2 linked regions of the Ovis aries genome follow. The protein of the gene in region 1 interacts with the protein of each later gene in a pairwise test. Links are inferred from orthologs where the notes say so. Each region holds a gene or a part of one and is shown on either strand. Other genes may lie near its edges.

Region 1 (3,572 bases):
CCTATGTCCAGAAATGAATAGCTATGCTTTCCACCTCTGGGAAGTAGCTTAACCATCAAGCCTGAGGATTCTTTGGAACTACCACACTACTGCCTTGCTGAGCACTCACAAAGTGGGATACTGGGATCAGGAAGAGAACTCACCTCTCGTTTGATAGGCTCCCCTTCACAGTGGATCACTGTGTCTGGCGCAACAATGCAATAAGGACTGGGATCTGTCTCCACTACTTTGAACTCTACGGCACGCATTCCACCCCGGACAAGGAAAATGTCTCCTGTGAGAGCAATCAGCACAAGAGCAGTCAGAGGTATCTATCACCAGACCAAGCTAAGAACTCCCCATCAGAACCTGGGATCTAGAATGCCAAGTTCACTAGATACTGTCCTTTCTCCTTCCCATCCACATCTTATTAAGCATCAGGCAAAAAGAGAAAGCTGAATTGTGAAAAGTCTCTCTGCCCCTTAAAAGACAGTGAATAAAACCTGATGTGCCAGGAAGAAACCCATAAGATTTTTGACTTCTGGGATATAGATAACCCAAGCTTGCACAACCACCACCAGCAGAACTGCGTTAAGTATTAAATACACTGTGGACTGTGATACACCCCAAATTGCCCACCTCTTCCTTCAGAGATACAAGAGAAGATAGCTTACTGTACTGGAGCAAACAGTGGGAATGGGAAAAAGGGAAGTGCAAGGAAGCAGGGAAGGAGAAAGTACACATGTACAGAATGTGTATGTATGCACACATGTATGAGAATAGACAAAGATGGACCAAGGTTTACTTTTGGGTATCCCTACAACAATTGCCCTTGAGTTCAGTCCTTAGAATTATTTCTCACCTTTCCGGATGGGTCGATAAGCTTCCAGGAAGTATGGCTTAAGGTAAACCTCAAAGAGATTGCCAGTGATGCCTTCCACCGTGTCATCGATGGGTAGTACATGGATGCGTTTGCCGTACTTCACATCAGGGCATGGCTGGATGCTGAGGATGACAAGCAGACTCCACATTACCAACCACATCGCAGCCCCAAGCTCTGGGTGTCCAAAAGGGCCTGGCACAGAGAGCTGATGGCGAGCGAAAGAGAAAAGGCAGGGATGGCTTTAGGTGAAGAGAGGCAAGAGGGTAGTGTTGGAGTGAGGGCAAAGCAACAGCCAAGCAGAACAGGTCATATGCAGGGTAGAGTGATAGGGGGAGCCTCTAGAAGAAGCTGCTGAGACTGCCCACTCACAATTGGTGAGGCAAAAGAAAGACCCACACATCTGGAATCCCCACGAAGACACAGAAGGGAAGGTCTTCAATGAGACATATCCAAGGATGACCCATTCTGGTTACTACTGGTAACCCAACACTACAAAAGGGGACCTTAGTCTGACAAGTGTCAGGGTCAGAGAAATACATGTGAAAAAATCATCTCAGTCAGGTGGTCAGAGCACCTTGAGAAAGTGACTAAGCACTTCCAGGAAGAAGGCTCCATAAAACCTAGAATCCCCCCCAAAAGAATCTGAAGCCTGAGATGTTCCTGGCCAGGTGACAGGTAGCAGTGGCCTGGGTAGCAGTGGCCAGGGATGACTTCAAGACGGAGAAACCTCTTGCCTAAAGTCTAATCACTCAAACTGGAACTATCCTAGGCCTGGCTCAAACTATGCCTCTCACCTCGATTAGCTTGGATCTTTATACAAACCTGCTAGGAGTCCACCTTCCATGCCCATACTCCCATCTCATTCTAGCCCTGACAAAAGCCATCAATGCAAGGCTATAAGCTTATTTGGCAGATACAGCCCTCAAATGGCATCCTAAACCAAGTTCTATGGTGTGACCCCTGGCAGAAAAAAATAAAGGTACCAAGAAAGTCAAGAAATGCCAACCTGTTCCAAGGATCATGAAGAGGCAGATTTTGAAGTCCCAGAGGCAGACCCAAAACCTAAAGACAACCTAGAAACCTAAGCCTTCCCATGGCCTATAAGCTCCCAATATCTGCAGTTGCCAAGGCCTTTATGGGGGTACTGCCTGTAAAGCAGGCAGTCTCTGGCCTCCCATCCCCGAGGGGCCAAGAACTCCACACACACCTGATAACATCCCCCAGGTGTACGCGAAGGTTATTCCGAACAACTCTATTCATTCGAATCTTCTCATCAGAACATGTGTCATCAGAAAGCACAATGCACACAGCTTCCCGCCTCTTCTTTCCTTTCAGCAACACTGTGTCACCTCGGAACAACTGGAGTTCATCCATCTTGGGCTGAGGAAAGAAGGTTAAGGCCTTTGGGTCATTGGGCCAGGGGATAAGCAGCAGCCCTGGAGGTTGGGATTCCCAGTAAACCCCATTCTATCTGTGGTCACTGCAAGAAAAATGAGAAAAGAAACCTGGGAAAAGCCCTCAGGTTAAATGCAATAAGCAAAGATTGGACTGTGGACCCAACTTACCTGGGACAAGGATACCACACTGTTGTCCTCATTGATGGCTTCATCAACAATTAACCGATTGGGACGGTTTTTCTGTTTAAGAATGGCTGTTGATAAATCATCGCCTTTTGAACTAGAAAGAGAAAAAGAAGTCAGTTCCAAAACAAATTCCAGCAACGTCCCCACCAGTCTCTAAAACTCACACTTAAGAATGAAATAGTGCATTGATGAAGTTATCCCCACATAGAGCTCAAACAAAAAGAAAGTCAGCCAAGATCAAGAATGCTTATCAAGTACATATTACAATTCCTATTTCAGCAACTCTTGGTATTCCGAGTAATGGTATCCCTGCTGTAACGCCCAGGTGATCTTGCCTAGGGTCAGGAAACTAAGAAAACAAAATAAAAGTGGAGGCTGAGCAGTAATTAGACAAATGGAAATAGTCTTAGACAGTATAGAATAGTGATTAAGAGAAGGGGCTCTGCAGTCAGACCTGTTGGGTCTGAATTCCAACCCTGCCACTTAGCTGTGATCTTGGGCAAGTGATTTGACCTCTCTGGAGGCTGATATAAAATGGAGACTACAGTAGCACTCATCTCAGAGGATTACTATCTTAAGATAGTGAGATGCTGAATGCAAAATGGACTGTCTTAAGTGAGATATGATTGTCTGGCATATGGTATCTGAGGTTTAGAATGATTAGCATTGTAGAACATAGCACAAACTCTTTCTTTGCTGATCTTCTTGCAGTAAGATGACCTCCCATGGGGCTTGGAGAGGCCCCAAGCCCCACAGAGTAAGCCTGGAAGCTATGAAGAAGAATCATTAGAAATTGCCCTTCCTACTGGCTAAACCTGCTGAATGCCAGAGCATTCTGTGCACCACAGGAATGCAAAGCATAAAGACCACCATATTTGAAAAAAGTGAACAGAAAACACTATCAGATCTGGAATCTTCACCAGAAAGAAGCTCAAGCTCAAATGGAGTTTCAAGGTTATCTCTGCGAAGATACACAACTCCATGGAGTTGGTTCAAAAAGTTAAAACCAAGAAATGCTAAGACATGGGACAAATCCAAATCCCTCTTGTCTACATCAAGGTTGCCTGAGTCTGAACTCAGTTTAAACTACCTAAATAAACTACCTAAACCACTTCCCAACACCAATT
Region 2 (4,174 bases), on another chromosome or scaffold:
CTTATTTTTAAAAACATACTACAGGCTATTTTTTTTTAAAGATTATTAATTTGAATCAAGATATTGTACCACTAGGCATGCTATGCAGAAACTAGTTTCTCCTTTAAGGATAAAGTCATTCAGCACAAAGGAAAAGAAACCAATGGATCACGTTTCAGTTACGTCTTCCACAGAATAGGATTAGGCCACCAAGAGCAAACTATGGCAGCATCAGATTCAAACACTAGTAAGACAGTTATTTGTATATTTTGTGAATTCTAGTTTATTAACTATTATGTATATAACAATTTAAAAAATGAAATCTTTTGGAAAGTTTTAGCTTAGCTTAGCTGTAATCCCAGTAGTGAAGAACATACATTTTTGCTATCTTCTATTAATAGAAAAAATTGTTAAGGAGGGAGTTATACGCTCACAAGGACCACAACAATAGTGACAAAAGTAATTTCAATGAGAAAATCTTAGGAGAAAGGTGAAACTTCTGCAAAAAACCCTCCAGATCCCTGAGTTAGCTACTGTTTTGACACCAAGATATTCTCATTCCAGAATGGGCTCCATACTGTTATTTCCCTTGCAAAACCCATCTCAAATACAATCTCCTTTAGAAAACCTTCCACGATTCCTCCAAAAGGCATGAATATAGAATTACTAACACAACAAGGAGAGATCAATTACGTACTTTTTGAATCTGCCCTACCTTCACAACCACAACCCTAGTACCATCTTCTCTAGGTGGTTTCCCCACATCCATTCTTGTTCCCATCCAATTCAGTTTCTACACAGGAATCAAGGTGACATCTTTTTTTTTCTTAATGACAAGCAGCTTACGGGATCTTAGTTCCCAGACTAGGATCAAACCAGGCCCTCGACAGTCAAAGTATGGAATCCTAACCACTGGACTGCCAGGGAATTCTCTTTTTTGTTGTTTTGTGTTTGTTTTGTTTTTTGTCAGGGTGACCTTTTTGATTAAGATACAGATTTGATTATGAGACTTTCCTGCTTCAAATGCATCAAGACCTCCCACTATTCTTCAAATAAGATCCAAATACCTTGGATAACATGACAAGGAGTTAACTGCAATGTTCTCTCACTACATTTGAAAAGTTTGAAAGTTTTGGTATAAACATTTTTTAAAAAAGAAAAGAAAAAACTGGTTCCCAAAACTTAACATTATTTAAAAGGCCCCACATCATCTCTCTGGCCCGAACTAACCACAGTCCCCTCAATTCACCTGTTCTGATCTTCAGTTCCCCAAACATTCTCAAGTCTTTGTGGAACTGATTTCCTTTGCCTGGATCTTTCTTTCCCTCCTTTTGAAACCGTTTTGGTGTCCTTTCTGGGGGCAGGGGTGGGGTGTGGGGTCCAAAGAGCTCCAGTACTGGGAATCTCCTTCACCTAATTTCCTACTTATCCATAATAACTGAGCTCAAAGATGACCTATTCCTAGGAAAATCTGAACTGATTTCTTCAGTCCCCGGTTATATGCTCACACAACACCGAACATTCCCTCTTTTCAGCTTCTTTCTAGGTAGAGGATGACATGGTTAGATAACTATCTAACCAAAGGACAGGAGTTTGAGCAAACTCTGGGAGACAGCAGAGGACGGAGGAGCCTGGCTTGCTGCAGTCCATGGGGTCGCAGAGTCGGATATGACTTAGCATAGGAAAAACAAGTTAGGTAAGTAGGCATTTACTTGTGTGATTATTCGTTTCCTCCAATGACACTGCACAAACGTATAATGGTCACTGTCATAGCGTCAGCACTCAGCACACAATAGGTACTAAAAACATTTGAATGATAAATTTAGTAATTAGCATTAAATATTCCGTAATTAAAGTCTTCATGTAAAGTACGACACGCAGGGCTAAAAGTCAGTGCTCAATACGTAGTAGTTTCTGCCTTGCATCACTTTTGTTGTGTGCTTAATTACTCCCTCCATTCTGCACACAATTCTTATTCATTTTTTGGATTCCACCAGTGCCTGTCTCTGGAGAAGGCAATGGCAACCCACTCCAGCACTCCTGCCTGGCAAATCCCATGGACAGAGGAGCCTGGTGGGCTGCCGTCTATGGGGTCGCACAGAGTCGGACACGACTGAAGCGACTTAGCAGCAGCAGCAGCGCCTGTCTCTAACTTTACCTTATAAACAGAACCAAAACACACCTGAGCCACGACTATGAAATAAGGAAGCTTGATTTTCACGTCGCTTATAAAATCGATCCCATTTTACAATCCCACATTAGTAGAGGCTGCCAGTTTCCTATCTTTACTTTCAATGATCTCAGATTGAGTACGAAGAAACCAATGCTGGAAACCACACTAACGTTCGTTATTGCTAACAAGCAACAAACTGCAAATAAAAATGGACACAGAGGAAAAGAAGAAATTAAGTAGGAAAAGAGAGACCATCAAGTCTACAAAATAAAAGTGAGTTTTAAGAGCCAACTAATGAAGTTACCTAAGAAAGGTCCACCCCACACAAACATGCGCTTTATTTCTGCGCTGCGAGTCTGCATTTTGAGAACAGAGAACTCGAAGTTTCCGAGCGCCCGCAGAGAGAGAAAACCACCGGGGCGCGTGCCCGGAGTCGGCGGCCCCGGAGCCGCGCCTCACCTGCGCGGGCCCCGAGTCCGCCCCGCCCGCCGCCCCACTGCGCCCTTTCGGGGTCGCGGACCGGAGCTCCGACTAAGACGGGGCAAGGCGGCTCCGCCAGACCCATCCAACCCATCCACCGGGCCCCGCCCGGCGGCCGGCCCGTCCCCTCACCCAGCCGAGCTCCGGGAAACTCACCTCCCGGCGCGGCCGCTGGAGGGGGCCGCGCCGCGCCGTCGCCTCGCGGCCTCGGTCTGTCTGCTCAGGGGCCGCAGGCGCCGCCGCCGCCGGGCTGGAGCCCCTCAGATGAGGAGCACCGCCGCCCCCAGGCCCAGTCGAGCTCGGCGGCCGGGCCGCTGGAACCGCGCGCGCCTCCCTCGGTCAACGCCGCCGGGCGCCGAGTACGCGCCGAGGCTGGCTCTGCGCAGACCCGAGCGCGCGCGCGGGGGCGGGGCTGGCGGCGGCGGCGGCGGCGGCGGCGGCGGCTCGCCCAGTGGCCCGCGCCGATGGCGGCCGCCTCCTTCCTCCTGCGGACGCTGCTGCTTCCTATCTCTCCACTCGGCGCGGAAGACGCAGGGAGCTAGGTGTGGGCTCATCTCAGAACTCAGCACCAACTTACCTGTGTACTTCGTCAGCCTCTGATTGAATCTGCGGAGAGATTTCCCTGCATCCTGACCATGTTGAACTTTACCTGAGCCCCGAGATGCCGGGAAGCAACGGTTAAAAGCACCCACCCCCCGCCCCTTCCGTCCCCCCGCGACCCTTTCGTGTCCCTGGAAGGTCTGACAACAGGAAACCACACTTCCCCCCGCGGTTTATTCAGACTCACGGATGTCCCCTTGTTTACCCATGACAAGGTCAGACATAGACCCTCCAAATAGCCGTTCTCTTTGCTTCATGATTGATTGTCTTTACTGATTGTGCCCACTGACAATCTGGACAAAATACCAGCTACCTTGTTTTGGCCAAACTTAAGATTCTCTCCTTCCTCCAGGCTCCTAGAACTTGGACCCACTCTCAGCTTGACCTAGCCTACAATCCCCCCTTCACCATCACTGAAAAGTAGGCTGACCTCCACATAAACCACCCTGATCTGCTGAGTGATCAACTGCCACCTCCACGCATCCATCCCCCTGGCCCTATGCCCAGTTCTGTGAAGTCTTTGTTCCTCCTCCCTATAAAAGAAGGGCCCTTTTCTGTCTGCCTACAATGCGGGAGACGCTGGTTCGATCCCTGGGTCGGGAAGATTCCCTAGAGAAGGAAATAGCAACCCACTCCAGTACTCTTGCCTGGAGAATCCCATGGATGGAGGAGCCTGGCAGGCCACAGTCCATGGGATCGCAAAGAGTCGGACAGGACTGAGCGACTTCACTTCACTTTTCTGACTAACCCTGGAGGTAAGTTGCAGGCCTCTGTGATAGCATTCCCTGATAGTGATGGTTGTTGCCTCAGCTACCACATCTCATTGCAGTAGTTTCTTTTCCTCTTCTTGGAATAATCCTTTCCAATAGTCTCTCTTTATCTAAATCCAGGACTTTTTTGTTTGTTTTGGACAACTGTGTTCCTCCCTTTGTATTTATCCTC

Evidence for each region. The genes of interacting proteins can lie anywhere in the genome.
Region 2: the proteins of VCP (region 1) and UBXN2A interact in binary tests that used the Homo sapiens proteins (3 or more experiments, as listed by UniProt). The link is inferred for Ovis aries from reciprocal best matches to the Homo sapiens genes VCP and UBXN2A.

What each region holds. Positions count from the first base shown.
Region 1 is NC_056055.1:53,402,404-53,405,975, reverse strand, and holds part of VCP (transitional endoplasmic reticulum ATPase), read right to left. Parts: intron 2,540-3,572; coding exon 2,428-2,539; intron 2,243-2,427; coding exon 2,070-2,242; intron 985-2,069; coding exon 842-984; intron 275-841; coding exon 144-274; intron 1-143. UniProt on the Homo sapiens protein: Necessary for the fragmentation of Golgi stacks during mitosis and for their reassembly after mitosis. Involved in the formation of the transitional endoplasmic reticulum (tER).
Region 2 is NC_056056.1:31,665,453-31,669,626, reverse strand, and holds the start of UBXN2A (UBX domain-containing protein 2A), read right to left. Parts: upstream 2,855-4,174; 5' UTR 2,515-2,854; coding exon 2,457-2,514; intron 2,349-2,456; exon of another isoform or gene 2,162-2,348; intron 1-2,161. UniProt on the Homo sapiens protein: Acts to repress the ubiquitination and subsequent endoplasmic reticulum-associated degradation of CHRNA3 by the STUB1-VCP-UBXN2A complex in cortical neurons.